Oreochromis niloticus: one gene and its partner. The protein of the gene in region 1 binds, or shares a complex with, the protein of each later gene. Links are inferred from orthologs where the notes say so. Each region holds a gene or a part of one and is shown in the gene's direction. Other genes may lie near its edges.

Region 1 (7,575 bases):
ATATATACAACATTCTATGAACAGCACACATACTTTAATCACTTACACATATAACAACACACCATGACAAAACTCTATTAACCATGTCACAGAGGCTCTTAAAGAGATTACTGAGCTACTGCAGCCATCTACCACAACCAGCTGGGAATAAAGGGAGGAACACGGGACAAAAGGCAAACTGGGCATTTGACTGGTCAGTTAACTGGAGTTTTCCACTTCACGTCAGTTCATCTGTAATTAGCTCAGACCCAGAAAAAGTGAATGCACTTCTAGATTATTTATAATTTTTTGCATAGTTTGAACTTGCACAATAAACAACAATAAACTACACATTTAAAATAACAGTTGAGTGGTAAGGAGGTTATACTATGAGACAGAGCAGGAATTTATATATTTACATCAGTGTTAAAAAACAAAACAAAGACAATCAAAATGAAGTTAGTTAAAAACAGTAAAAGTAAGACTGACGTTGTGTAGGCGAGAAGTGCAGATTGCATTAATGAAAATCTTTTGCCTGACAGGTGTGTAAACCTGTCACAGAATGAAGTTATTCTACAGCTTTATAGAGAATGGTAGGAAAGGCTTTCTAAAGTGTTCTTTATGGCAGCGAGGTTGAATCACTCTGCTGCCTCAGAGGTATGGAGTGGAGTGGGTGTGATGGGCTGTCCCTGATGGAGAGGGTAGGTTCAGTGACCTCCTGCCCCTCACTGACTCAAACATCTCCAAATTCTGACCAATGATGCTTCCAGCCTGCAGATTAGTTTGTTCATCCTGCTGGCATCTCTGGCACTGATGCTGCCCCCCAGCAGACAGCAGCAAACTAGATGGTACTCACTACCACAGAAGAAGATCTCCAACATCTTGCTGCACACATTAAAGCATATGAGCTTCATTAGAAAGTACAGTAATTCTTGATATGTTTAAAAAATGTTCTCTCAAGTTTGGGTAATGAGAGTAGGAATAATCATTCCTACATGCCTGAGTCTACTGTCTACCATGTATAGTCCAGTTTGGAAATCCTTCCCAGATGCCTTAACGCCCACTCACGTCTTGGGCCATTTGTTCTCAGTAAGTCACATGACATGGGTGGGCAAGGTCTCACAGTGGGTTCACCTGAAACCTTGGCTGATTGTGACCCACACCCGTTTTCACACCTTGGCTCGTGTGATTAGCCAGAGGATCAATAGGGGGTCCACGACCCTCTTTGGGACATTCCCAATAGGGCTTACGAGGTAGGGACTCTACACCAGTTGCTCTTAGAACTAAAGAAGCTTCCTGGACGAGAGGTGAAACATCTTCAAGAAAGTTAAAGAAGTCCAGAGACTAAACCTTAATCTGACCTCCCCCTAACCTTGACAAATGTAACTACATGTTGTGTTGTCATAGTCCTCTCATCCATTTCTGGCCTCTCAGCAGGTTTTTAATTAACTGGAAGGAAACAGAGAGATAAACTCCACCAACAGTTAGTGTTTTGGCAGAAAACTGCAGTGCAACAAAGAAACACCACATACAAGTAGAAATGCTTCCAATGGTGTCGGCCACTTGCGTAGGCTCTATGGATTCAACACTGAAGTTAAAGTCTCAAGTGAGACCTCGGAGTGTTAATGAGCACATTCATTTATTTCTTTGTATAGGTTTCCCATCATTCAGATCATGGCAGTCTTAAGCACTTGAGTTGAAAGCAACTGGACTTCTACTTGTTTTTTAGGTTCTTAAGGATGTTTCCCCTACTCCTCCAAAATCTTTGATGAAGTAGCCTTTTGGTTGAGAGGTTACACTTCATGTAACCTTACTGGATTTCAGATCTGCCATTGTCTTCCTCTCCCACTGAAGATTTGACTAAATGCAGCTCATGTTTGACTGTCGTGCAGAATGCAAAGAGTTCTCTGCTCCTACATATTTGCCTACAGCGGCCAGTGTTACACTGGCAAAACAGGATACATTGTTCTGCCTTTTCCCTCTTACTTTCTTTCCCTCATTGCCTCCATCACTGACTGAGTAAGTGAGACACGTCATGATGTCTGTAAGCCTGACTGGAGAGATGATGATTGTAGGGTCTCTACCTTACAATGTAGAGGCGACTATAGTTGTGATTTGCCACTAGATACATAAACTGAATTGAGTGAGTCTTGGCCAACAATTCTTGCTTTTGGGACCAAGGTCACCTCTTTAATCATAATTTAATGCACAGAACTTCTAGGCTCAGCCAAGTAGGGGCTGACTCTGGTGGCTTATCTCTGCTAAATCTCTGCATTTTGCAGATGATATGGTTCCTTTGGACTCCTCAGGCTGTGATCTTCAGCTCATACTGGGATAGTTTGCAGTCAAATAGAGCTAAAATGGAAAAAGAATAGGCTGGTGGATGACCAGTCAATCGTTTATGTTCCTATGTTGTATCAGTCTGTGTTTCTACCCTGAACTATGGCCATGAGCTGTGGATGGTGTCCAGGACATGCTGGAGGGATTACATCTCTTGGCTGATTTGTGGTGTCCACCCAGTAGATCTGGAGATGATGACCAGGAAGAGTGAAATCTGGGTGTCACTGTAGAAAATAGATGGATAAATGGACATCTATATGATGTCTCACAGGTGTTTTCATCACCAGTTTTCTACACTGTACTTAATTCTAATCAATTATGCTGATTATCCTGTGCCTTTGGGCTTTACCTGCATTTTATAAACTTGAAAATAGATGCTAATTTTAATGCAACTGGATATATTATCACTTTAAGTTTAATGCCTTTCTATTACTACAGTTTTTTAAAATACTTTCCATTTCTATCATATTTTACTTCAAAAAGTAGGTTTTCGTTGAATTACTGCCAGTTGAGTCATTGCTTTCTATTGCTATAACTTGTGTGTGAGGAGAAACTAGAGAGCAGTGGAAGTGATTTCATACCAGTGAGAGGAAAATGATCAGCTCAGCTCAGCAGAAGACTGAATAGAGGGGAGGGAGGTTTACAGTTTGCCTGGTAACAGCAGCTTAATTCTGGGATTGGCTTCTACAGTGGTGATGTCAGATGTGCCTGGCAACGAGACTGGAATGCAACAGAGGGATTTAACACCCACTCAGCGTCACACCGAACTCCTAAACAGAACTGCTTTAACACTGGTTGCCTTGACACTGCAGAGTTGATTATTTAAATCGGAAGATTATTTTTTCACTGTCTACATCTTTGGTATTTAGAAAAACACTTGGAGCCCTGCAAACAAAGATGAGAGCTGAGAGAAAAGAGGTCTCACTCTGCCTCTAATTCCACGCATCCCTTTTGAAACCCAGTATAATATGTCGTGAAGCAGGTCGGCGCCGGTGTCTTTAAAAGCTGCATTTGGATCCACATACAGCCTTGTTTATTATGTTATTGTCTTTTTACATGTGTACACTCATTACACTGAGTTTAAATTACACACACACAGAGGACTGTATTTAACTAGTTGCTGCCATTTTAATATTGTTGTTTATATTTTTCAAGGTTCTACTGATGTATCTCTAATGTTTTGCTATTTTACCACTAATACAGAAAGAGTTAAATTTGCATATTAGTACAACAGAACATGAAGATGGCTTCATCTTTCAGCTCTGAACAGTCCTGCTTTGTAAACACTCAGTGAGGCCTGAGAGGTGTGTTACAAAGGAAGTTCAATACAGCCGGGGTTTCTTTGTGTTAACTGGTTTAACAAAATCTCTCAAGTCACATGGCTCAACGAACACCTTTCAGAAAAACATCCTTTGAATGCAGCTCACTCCATCGAAGACATTATCAGATGATGATAAAGTAGTGATTAAAGTCTTTAAAGAACATTAAAAATGAACAGCAAAAAGAATCAGTGTTGCAATTAAGATAAGAAATTGGTCTGTTTTCCTTCTCTCACCGCAACCAGTCGCAGCAGATGGCCCCGCCCCTCCCTGAGCCTGGTTCTGTTGGAGGTTTCTTCCTGTTAAAAGGGAGTTTTTCCTTCCCACTGTCGCCAAAGTGCTTGTTCATAGGGGGTCATATGATTGTTGGGTTTTCCTCTGTATGTATTATTGTAGGGTCTACCTTACAATATAAAGCGCCTTCAGGCGACTGTTACTGTGATAAACAATATTGAATTGAATTGAAATTAATGACAGAGAAAATCTTTATTCTAGAGATGTAGCGCACAGAGCGATAAAATAAAGCTTTTTCCACTAATTTCACTTGATCATTTTGTGTCTCAGTGCACTCTCAGTGCTGCAGTTTGCTTCTAAGATGATGGCAGCACATTAGCGCTGTGAAACTTTAAATTGCATCCATTTAAACATAAAAGCTTACAGTCCCACAGCCTGGAGATGTGGAAATTACTTCAGTTTGACACAGATCAAAGTGAAATGATTTCTCTAGATTGAATAGCTGTTCAATTTAGACAAATCGCTGCCGTGTTTTATTACGGTCCCAATAAAACACAGAGTGGTCCCTCTTCGCGGGCATACACATCTTCAAGAGTAAACGCTCCGGACAAAGATAGAAAAATGGTGAGCATGCGCGTCGTCGAAGAATCCAGTAAATAGAACCCCGGAGCACGAGCCGAGTGTCGTTGCTGACGTCACGGCCGTACGTTGAGAGCTGGAGCTGAGTTGTAAGCGCGAGCTCAGACGGAGGCGCGCCGAGGGAACAGCTACAGCTATGGTGCTCTGTTCTTCTTCGTGAGGACGAAATCAGCCACTTTTATTCTCGTTGACGTATTTTTCCGTCTTCTCTGCGACGTAAACAAGCTGTCGGACATTTTGAAATCGCTTCGGGGATACAATATGTCCTCCACGGCGGTCGCTGCCTCCAGAAGGCAGTCCTGTTATTTATGCGACTTGCCCCGCATGCCGTGGGCGATGATCTGGGATTTTACCGAACCCGTCTGCCGTGGATGTGTGAACTACGAAGGTGCCGACCGGATTGAATTCGTTATCGAGACTGCCAGGCAGCTAAAGAGAGCACACGGCTTTCAGGACGGCCGCTCTCCGGGCCCGGGGAAACCCCAGCACGCCGGGAAAGAGATCAATCACTCGGTTGGAGACCCGGGCTCCCGTCCCCCTCAACCTCTGGATCGTTATCCGCTGTCAGACAGGCCGCCGCGGCTGGGCCCGGAGTACCAGGCGGGCAGGCAGTCGAACGGCCTCCCGATGCCCAACGGATTTCCCAAACCCGACGAGCCCCCTGAGCTAAACCGCCAAAGCCCCAACCCCCGCAGGACTAGCACGGTTCCTCCCAGCTTGGTGCCTTTGGTAAACGGCGGGATACCTGCCATACATCCGCTCAGCGGCCGCCCGACACAGATCGGTCTGACCGGCGCTCTGATCGCGCCTGTCCCCGGGGAGCACGGCAAGCGCCCGGAGGAGCTGAAAGACAAGCACCGGGCGGACAGCATGTCGGACATGTCGGACAGCCACAAGGACTGGATAAACAAAGGCAAAACTGTCAGGGACCTGATGCTGCACACGTTCGACGGCAGGGTAAAGAAGGACCACACCGCCATGCAGCGGGTCATGGCGTACGAAATGAGTGGCACTTCCTCAAAAACAGGTAGGCTGTTTGTTTTGTGTCTGCACTAGAATGTGGTGAGCTGGCACGCGCCATGAAAACGGGAACTAAACAGCAGGGAACTAATGTGTCAGCACTTTGCACACACGGTGTGTCGTGCATTTACGCCATCGTGAAGGGTCCGCCCAGCCACGCTGCTGGCACGCACCCGTTCACCTCTGTGTGAGAGAGCAGTACGGGAGCAGGTGTGTGTGTGGTTGTTGGGGGGGGGGTAGAAATGAGCTGCCTCGTATTCTGCACAGGCCGGGATGTTTGTGTGTACCTAGCGTGGCGTTAACCCTGCTGCTTTTCCTTTGCACAGACAGGGGGAAGCACCCTCGGCCTGGGAAGAGGAAGGCCTCCCCTGAGCCAGATGGTGAGAGCAGTGCCCCCAAGATGAATGGCAGTGAGGGCCAGCCATGGCTCCCCTCACCCTCTGAAGTCCTGAAGATGCCCCCAGCTGCCCTACCAGGCTTCTCTGCGGCGCCTCCATCAACCATCTCCCCCCACTCCCGCACCACACCGCCTGAGGCTGCCACAGCGCAGAATGGCCAGTCCCCCATGACTGCACTCATCCTCGCCACTGACAACGCAGGCAGCACCGGCTCACCTAAGGACGGCAGCCAGGTACATTCCACCGTGGCGGGGGCACGACGGAACAGCGGGAGCCCCCTCTCACCCTCACAGAGGAGGCTGGCCCAGAGAGAGGGGCCCGTGAGCGCCAACCCCTCCGCTCCGCATGGTCCCGGCAGTATGGAGCCACCGCCGCAGAGCATTCCGGATTCCTCTGTGCCACCGAGCAGCATGCCGCTGTGTTGCACTCTGTGCCATGAGCGGCTAGAGGACACTCATTTTGTCCAGTGCCCTTCAGTGCCCTCTCACAAGTTCTGTTTCCCCTGCTCCCGGGAGAGCATCAAGCAGCAGGGGGCCACCGGCGAGGTGTACTGTCCCAGTGGTGAAAGGTGCCCGCTGGTTGGCTCCAATGTACCCTGGGCCTTCATGCAGGGGGAAATAACCACCATATTGGCCGGAGATATAAAGGTAAAAAAGGAGCGGGACCCTTAAAAAGTTCTCAGACTGCTTCTCGTGAACTTTTTTCCCTCTTGTAACCCAAGTATGGCAACAACAGCAGGACATAAAGTAACAGACGCAGCTCACCCAGCAAACCTCAGAGGAGCTGGCAGACATGTACATAGTGAACGCAGGGGAGTGTATACTTCATAAATGTGGCAGTAAAATTTGACTTTTTTCTTTAATACATTGTTTCTTACTGTGTTTCCAGTAAGACTTTTCCTTTTTCCCACCACAGCTGTTTCTTCTCAGTCTGTCGTTGTACTTTAGGTCTGCAGACAGTCCCTGTCGAGCATAGAATGTGACTAATTTGAGCACTTGGCAAAATCCTTTAATAAATGAAACAAAAAATGCTTCTAGCTGTACATGTATGCACTTGTTTAAGAAAAAAACTTGCCAAATACAGTTTCAGACCTTGTAATAATACCCCCAGTGTCTCTGTGGTTTGCTTATTTTCCATAATCCTGGAGTTGGTCGGAGAGTCATGGCCTGATTGTGAATCAGTCATGATGCAATCCCTCCCAGCAGGAACAAACTGGCTTCCAGGGAACAGTGGGTGGAAGGGGAAAAGTCAGGGAGCGAGGGAGATGGAAGAGGGGGGATGAAGGCCGCAGTAGAAGTGCGTTGCATAAATGTACTGTAAATCGCACGTGGGCGAGCCGAGGCTGCTCGGCGCTGAGGCCTCGTGCCCTGTGAGTGCGGGGGGAGATAAGGAGGGCCTAAAAATAGTCACTGTGGCTTCAAAGTGACGCCTGCTCAGGCGTTTGTTGATGTCAAAACAACTGCCTCATATGTCCTGTTTGGGCACTTTGTTTGGATCTAGAGGTTTTCTCTTTGCTTCTCCCTCATCGACCCAAATCAGCCTGACATCTCGTCAGATGCTGGCAGCAGATCAGAGCTGTTGCTGACTGAATACACGCCCTGATTCCAATGAAAGCACATGGGAGACGTGAGGTCATGAGCGGCGGA
Region 2 (7,005 bases), on another chromosome or scaffold:
AAATTAAAAGACAAGAAATGGCAGGTAAAAAATAGACACTTTGATAAAGAACACAGGAGAGACAGGGATTTACACGCTTACTGCGATAAGATCAATGCTTTAAGCTCAGTATGGTGCCCACATACAGAAATGGGACATTAAAATATATGCCTCAAACATGTCGGAGAAAAAAAAGGGGGAAACTATTAGGATAATGACGCAGGAGATGTCAAACTAAATGCAAAACACAGGAGACAATGACTACCAAAATAAAACAGGAAATGAAAGATAGCCACGGAAACAGGGAGACACTTAGATACAAGAACTTTACGGGATGAATAACAATAAAAGAACAAACTCTAACTGAGAAGAAAAGAGGAACAGGATACTAATGGAAAAAAACCCAATGAAACCAGACTTACAGAAACAATACCAAGAACCAGACGGCCTGAAGGAAGAATGGAAATAAAAACCAAAAAATTAAACACAACTCTGAAAACCGTGAGTTCAGAAACCGACCTACGTGCCAAATATAGAGACTTTTAACTTGAAAAGGCAACTGATGTAGGAAAGCAGAGTGTTGTGATCTATGGCATAAATCATCATCACTTCAAAAATTCTGGACACACTTTAATGACCACTAAACCTCTGTGATTTTTTACAATAACTAGTTTATCTTTTCATGGATTTTGACTCTGGAATATCTGTTTTTAATTTGTTGTATGAATAAAATACAACACTTCATTATATTCAGACGTCTTTCATGGTTCATTTTTGAGGTATATTTTTTTCTGCTCCAGTACAACCATTTATCTAACTGATTTTAAGTGGGCTGGATGTATAATTAAATGTCTTAATACGGCCTTTAGGTGATCAGTCTGCTAAAGTAACAGCTGAGATGACTGTGGCAAGGACCACATACACACACACACACAGCGTTGTCAGTTTGCTCAGTTTATTGTCTATGGCAGTAGATTCTGTTGTTTTGGTGCTCTGCACGCTGGAAACAGTCACTCCACGTTTTTCTGCTCTGCTGTCACTGAAAAAGCCAAGAAGATGTCATCTAACCTGACCCAGCACACCTGTGTTTCAACCACGCCTCCCTGTGAGCTCACTGTGTCGCCCCTCCTCTGCAGCAGGCCAGAGGCCACACCTCCACCACAATGACTCTAAACAATGCATTGCTTTCTCACTCACTGCAACCTACATGGCTCTGCTTGATGCTGCTGAGTCACATGACCACAGGAGATCGGAATGCAGCAGAGCAGGGAGGAGGGGGCGGAGCAAAGCGTGCCTGCATGAGAGGAGCATTGCTTCCACACACGTCTCCTTTCTGATGAATGAGAGCAACTTACAGGGGACAGACAAACTAAAGCATTGAGCGTATCGGGCTAGTATCGATCCAATACCAGCCCCAGTATCAGTTCTATTGATATTTTACTGCATAAAATGATATTAAATTAAATAGAGTACCATCGTAGTAATAATAAACACACAACTGAACTAAACAGATGCCCTCCCATAGATCATTGTTTTGTCACAGTCACCAGTCCAGCTACTTTATTAGTGTCAGGATTGTGTATTATAGTGAACGATCGCCTCCTCGTTGTTGTTTTCTAAGAGCACTAACACTGTCACCCTCCTGCAGGATACTACTCATGGAGAAACACAACCTACGGCTCCTGGTTCATACTGACGTTGTGTGAGATGTTGGAGTGCTACAGTGGGAAGCTGGATCTGATGCAGATCATGACGCGAGTCAACTACGGTGTTTCACGCTACTTCGAGTCCTCCAGCAACCTGCCTGGATTTGCTCGCAATAAGCAGATCCCCTGTATCGTCTGTATGTTGACCAAAGACTTTTACTTCCCCGTCTAGATTTACATGGTTGAACCTCAGTGATCTTTGTTCTCCTTGACCAAATGCAAAGTCTGATGCTGTGCTGCAGCTGATGCAAAGCAGGATGACAGTGATTTAAATGTGACTAAACCCATTTGCACAATCTGCACTTAGATTAGTGATACTTTTATTGATTTTAGTGTTGGATCAGTTTACCTTTTATATTTTGTGTGTTTATGTATGTTTGTATTAAAGTGAAAAAAACCATTAACAGTGTTGCGACAGTTTTGGGCGCTCCACATGTTTTCGCCATCTGTCGTATTTTTATGTTTTGTTGGCCTAACAAGGGCATGTTTTTGGACCTCATATTGAGAGTTCTAGTGAACATCTACCAAACTCAGGTTCAACACTTTGAATCATCAGTTCTTTCTGAGCTTTTGAAAATGGGAGGTTATGTGTAAAACATTTAATTCAATACATGTGTTAAAATCCTTGAATTGAAGCTGAAGGTCCGCACTTCAGTCACATCTTCTTTGTTTGATTTAAAGTCCGCTCTGGTGGAGTGCAGAAGCAGGAGTCCACACACTCACGGAGCTGACCATGTGACAGGCCAGATGTTTTGTATTTTGAACCAACTGTGTGAACATGCAGCCACTAGAGGAGGCCAGAGAAACAACTAATGTGATTCTCAGAGGCCTTTAATGACTCAGCAGTTTTGCAGAGGTTCCAGGAACTGAAACTGTGGCCCGGTTTAACCCTTGATGCATCGACCATGTGGAAGTGCTAATTTGAAAACGAGAAAAGAAATAAGACTTTCTGTTTAGACAGTTGTCAGCTTCTTCTTCTTCTTTTTCTAATTCTTCCGTTTTTCTTTTTAACCATCTGTATTCTGTGTATAAGGCAGCTTCTGTCTGGGGCCCACTGCTGTGAAATACAAACTCCTTGGATAGGTTTGTCAGACCCCTCCCGGGCTCAGCTGTGTGTGTCACAGAGATAACCCTGACCCTGTGGAGAGCTGGCACACACTTTCCATTTGTTGAGGATCAATTGTGGAGGTTGGAGCTTCTCAGACATCGCGTTTTCCATTCCCAGATTTTGACAAAGCTGTTTTCTCTTTGCTGTAAACAGAAACAGTGTGCTGAGTGAGTCACCGGCAGCACAAATGACACCAAATGTAACAATCATTAATGAATGGGGAATTTCAGTACGTGTGAGTGTGCCAGTGGAAGCCTTATCTTCAGAGTTTCCATTAAAAACAGACACATGTCATGCATACATGCATGCTGCTGTGTTGGGAATCTGTCGATCTGCTGCTAGCTTGCAGACATTTTCATGTGAAACTGCACAGCTCAGTTTCGATTCTCCTTTTTAAAGAATGAACGGAATCACTGCGTGCACTACTCTAAACTGCAGCTTGACTCTGGGACCCCACCGCCACAGCTACACACTTAGAGGAGAGACATTACAAAGGTGTCCTTTCCACACAACGGCAGGTGTGCTGCTGCCAACCCCTTAAACACACACACGGTTGTGAGAAGTTTCTAGTTTCGTTTCCAGTTGCAGCGGCGGAGAAAAAAGAGGAGATGTGGGGGCGACGGGGGGGAGAGAGACACAGAGGAAGTGAAAATGAAATTCAGCTCAAAGATCGTCTATGTCCTAAGAATAAACGTTCCGGGGGGGCGGTCATTTCCGCCGTGTGTCAACCTGCTTATACATTTAAACACGTATTTGCTACAGTTGGCTAGGACATTGATGTATTCAGGTACTAGTCACTGAGCTATGTATATATATCCCAGACGTGCAGACGTTTAATGTTGGTGTTTTGCAATGGCGTGGCAAGGTGAATGGTAAATACTAGAATTTAGACCAATTTTATTTTTAGGTGATTCTATCCTACGCTGTTCTGTATCAGAGCACGTGACTCCTGTGCAATCTGACGGATAATTATCCCAGAAAGTAAAGCTAAGCTACGAGCATTAGGCTAATCTTAAATGTCATGGTTGCCGCCAAAAAAACAAACAGATAACCCGCCCCCCCAAAAAGATAATAATAATAATAAAAAAAAAACACAACGGAGTGAGCCATCTTCGCTTCGACGTGTGCGAGCGCACGCGAGACTTCACGACGCTCGAGACCGACCCAAAGCGAGAGCACGAGAGCAGGAGGGGGATTTCCAGCTCTGGCCCCCACTTCCCGAAGCGGCCGTTGTTTTGCTTTCGGTCTGAATGCAGAAACAGAAATAAACGACGACCACACTTTCCCTTTTCCACTTAAAACCTCGAACACGTTAACCTGTCCGGCTTTGGCTGCTCTTCTTATTCCGACAGCGGGACTGTGGAGCCCGAGGCCGTCCAAACCTAACAGGTAACATCTTATTTCCGCATATTAACGTCGCTGCCTTGCGCTCCCCTGGCCACACTGACTTCCTACAGGGCGACATGACGGATCCCTAGCTCAAGTGAAAGTAGTTCTGCAGTTTGTCTCCGCGTTTCATGACTCGGTATGGGATTTATTTTCACTTTTGACTTCGTTGTTTTGGGTCAGCTCGGTGGCAGGCGGTAGACACACAGAGCGCGATAAACTTCTGACTTGCCCCCGCTGCTAAAGCAGACTCGACTCCAGAACAAACATGTTACTAACATTGGAAAGTCAGCGGTGATGTGGCTGTTTACCTGGAATTAGTTAATATTTGCTAGCATCCTCCCGCTATAACGTAGACTCTTTGAAGTGTACAGTGTTTATCTGTTTGTAACTGTGTGTATTTACCGTGTTATAATCTGAGTAGCAGCGGGACTGAGCCGTGAACAGTATTCAGGTCTTAGTGCGTGTCATTTACACTGAAAACACTACAAGTGTTATATTGTCTGAACTCCGTGACGGGTAACTTACCATGTTTAGCAGTATAAAAATAAATGTGCTATACACTGAAGAAATAATAATAGTAATACTATTAATAATTTAAAAAGTACTACTGATGTTATAATATTGAATGTTATATTCTTAAATGTACAGTTGGACTATATTTGAGTGTAGACACCGTTATGTACACAGTGTAAATACATATTTAAATTCTTCTTGATCCAATTTTTCCGCCATATCAGCAGCAAATGTTCCTCATTGTGCAATTAGTAAAAAGAACAGAAGAAAGCACACATATTGCCACGCACTGTGATGACATGTTGGTCAGAAATCAGTATAGTTTGCGTCAACGGTTTAACCGCATTCATTTAACCCTAAAGTCCCGCTGTGATGATTCCCTCTTCCACCAATTAAACATCTGCTTGTTGAAATGTATTCACACCATGTGCTGTTCTCTCAGAGGACTTAGATGTAGTCTGTCTCACTGAAAAACTGAGCGGAAACATTAAATAGTGCTGAGTTAAGTGAACTTGGCGAATGTGTTAAAATAGATCTGGGTCTTTTTTTTTTCTTCAATTGTCTTTCTGTTAGAAAATGTCTTCTGTCAGTGTCAGATACTCTGACATAAAACTGTAAGTTTTTACAGGTATATTTGTAGTTAAACTGCATGTCTGTGAATGACCAAAATATTAATATCCACAGATGTAATTTAAGAACAAAGAGATGCTCATATTTGTGAATGTGAGCGTGCTGCTTTTAACGTGTGAGGCAAGCTGCGGTCAGAACTTGGGTGATAAATGAGGATGAAGAGATGCCTGTGTCGTTTTTACTATTTATGAAATAATGAGCAGTCTTATCTGTGAATAAATAAATCATTTTCCTGTCTTGAGTCACTCGTGTGACTGTAAGTAACCTGTGTGAATGATTTCTAACTGATGCCGTGTGTCATGTAGTCTGTTGGGAACACCTGAGACTGTCGTCTCTCTTTGCAAGATCACCAAAAGTCTGCTTTTGAAGCGCACAGCACAGTTTGTTTGCACAGTGATCAGTGCAGCGCCCCCTGTTGCAACTGAGTTAAACAGCAGTGGCACATTTCATCATATGTAAACTTAATGTGCTTCATATATGAGATAAAAAACATTAAAAAAAAACTGTAGGATTACAGTGCCTTGAAGTAAACAAGTGTAAGCTTGCACGAACAAAAAGGTTTTGAGTCTGTTTTTGAATGCTTGCATAGGTGTAACTGATCTCAGGTCAGCAGTACCTGAAAGCACCCGCAGCATACTTGGATCTGCTTGTAGGAGCGTTTGCCCTGCACCTGATGGCAGTCTGACTGGGTTGTAAACAGTGAGCAAGTCAAAGATGCTTCAGGTGTGCAAACCACCGAGAGCTTTGTGCTGATCGGACTTTAAAGGTGAAATATCAGTTTGTGTTTGCTGAAGTCATTTGTGTTGAGATTTGGTGACACAAAGCTGCCTCTTATTGATATTTGCGGGGGTTGTTTAGTTTTCCTTTTCGAGCACCAGGGGCTGGGTTGAAGTGGGACGTGGGCCCTGTGTTTTGGCCATGTGTGCCATTTGTACTGCACTCCTTGTGTCTTTTTCAGCTTGTGTTTTCTGTAGTGATATTGTGAGCTTTCACTGAACAGACGCAGCTGAAAGGCTCAGCCTTGTTTGATATTTTGGATTTGATGCTGCGCTGTTTCACCTTGTTTAACCTGTTGGGGAAGCACTGCGCTGGCAGGGAGTGTCAGCCTGACTGGACTTTGATCACGTTTGTGTGCAGAGATCATCACCCTGCCCTTAAATCAAATGTAGCGGCATGGGTGGGCTAAAGTTTTCTGGGACGGTTATGAGCTCTGTTTGTTTTTTCCTGTTGTCCTCTTGTTCCATTGTTGTTTTATTTAAGGTGTCGTTCTCTGGAACAAACAGCGCGAGGCTGAGTGTAGAGCTACAAACATGAGCTGACATTTTTATTTATGAACCGTGTTTTATGGCTGCTGTTCTTTGCGCACACATTAAAGAGCCTGGCCAAGAGTCTTATCTTTACAAGCACACACAGATCTGATTCAACTGTGTTCCACACCTTACTCTGAAATGATGACTATGAATGGGGAAAAAACATCAGTGGGGGGCCTGCTATGCTCATTTCCAGCTCTACTTGAGTAGCTCTGGATGATTCATGGTTCAGAATCGTTCTTGTTTGTCGTTGGCTTGGTGCAGCCGCTCAGTTCATCCTGTGTGAAACAAGATGTTTTGGCTCTTGTTGGCACAGTGAGCACCACAGCAGATCACGTATTACAGCATTTCTATTTTTTTTTAAAGTTGC

What was found.
Region 2: the proteins of irf2bp2b (region 1) and irf2b are in contact, whole or in part, in a crystal structure (PDB 8YTG), measured with the Homo sapiens proteins. The link is inferred for Oreochromis niloticus from reciprocal best matches to the Homo sapiens genes IRF2BP2 and IRF2. Residues at the interface, in NP_892017.2 of Homo sapiens: His517, Phe518, Val519, Gln520, Pro522, Phe531, Leu557, Trp564, Ala565, Phe566, Met567, Glu570, Thr573, Ile574; in NP_002190.2 of Homo sapiens: Arg331, Ala332, Ser333, Val334, Ile335, Lys336.

The regions. Positions count from the first base shown.
Region 1 is NC_031971.2:4,315,660-4,323,234, reverse strand, and holds the start of irf2bp2b (interferon regulatory factor 2-binding protein 2-B), read left to right. Parts: upstream 1-4,507; 5' UTR 4,508-4,772; coding exon 4,773-5,538; intron 5,539-5,857; coding exon 5,858-6,600; 3' UTR 6,601-7,575. UniProt on the Homo sapiens protein: Acts as a transcriptional corepressor in a IRF2-dependent manner; this repression is not mediated by histone deacetylase activities. Represses the NFAT1-dependent transactivation of NFAT-responsive promoters.
Region 2 is NC_031966.2:34,358,039-34,365,043, forward strand, and holds the start of irf2b (interferon regulatory factor 2), read left to right. Parts: upstream 1-3,977; 5' UTR 3,978-4,182; intron 4,183-4,206; exon of another isoform or gene 4,207-4,318; intron 4,319-7,005. Other genes in the region: caspase-3, read left to right, coding at 1,628-1,857. UniProt on the Homo sapiens protein: Specifically binds to the upstream regulatory region of type I IFN and IFN-inducible MHC class I genes (the interferon consensus sequence (ICS)) and represses those genes. Also acts as an activator for several genes including H4 and IL7.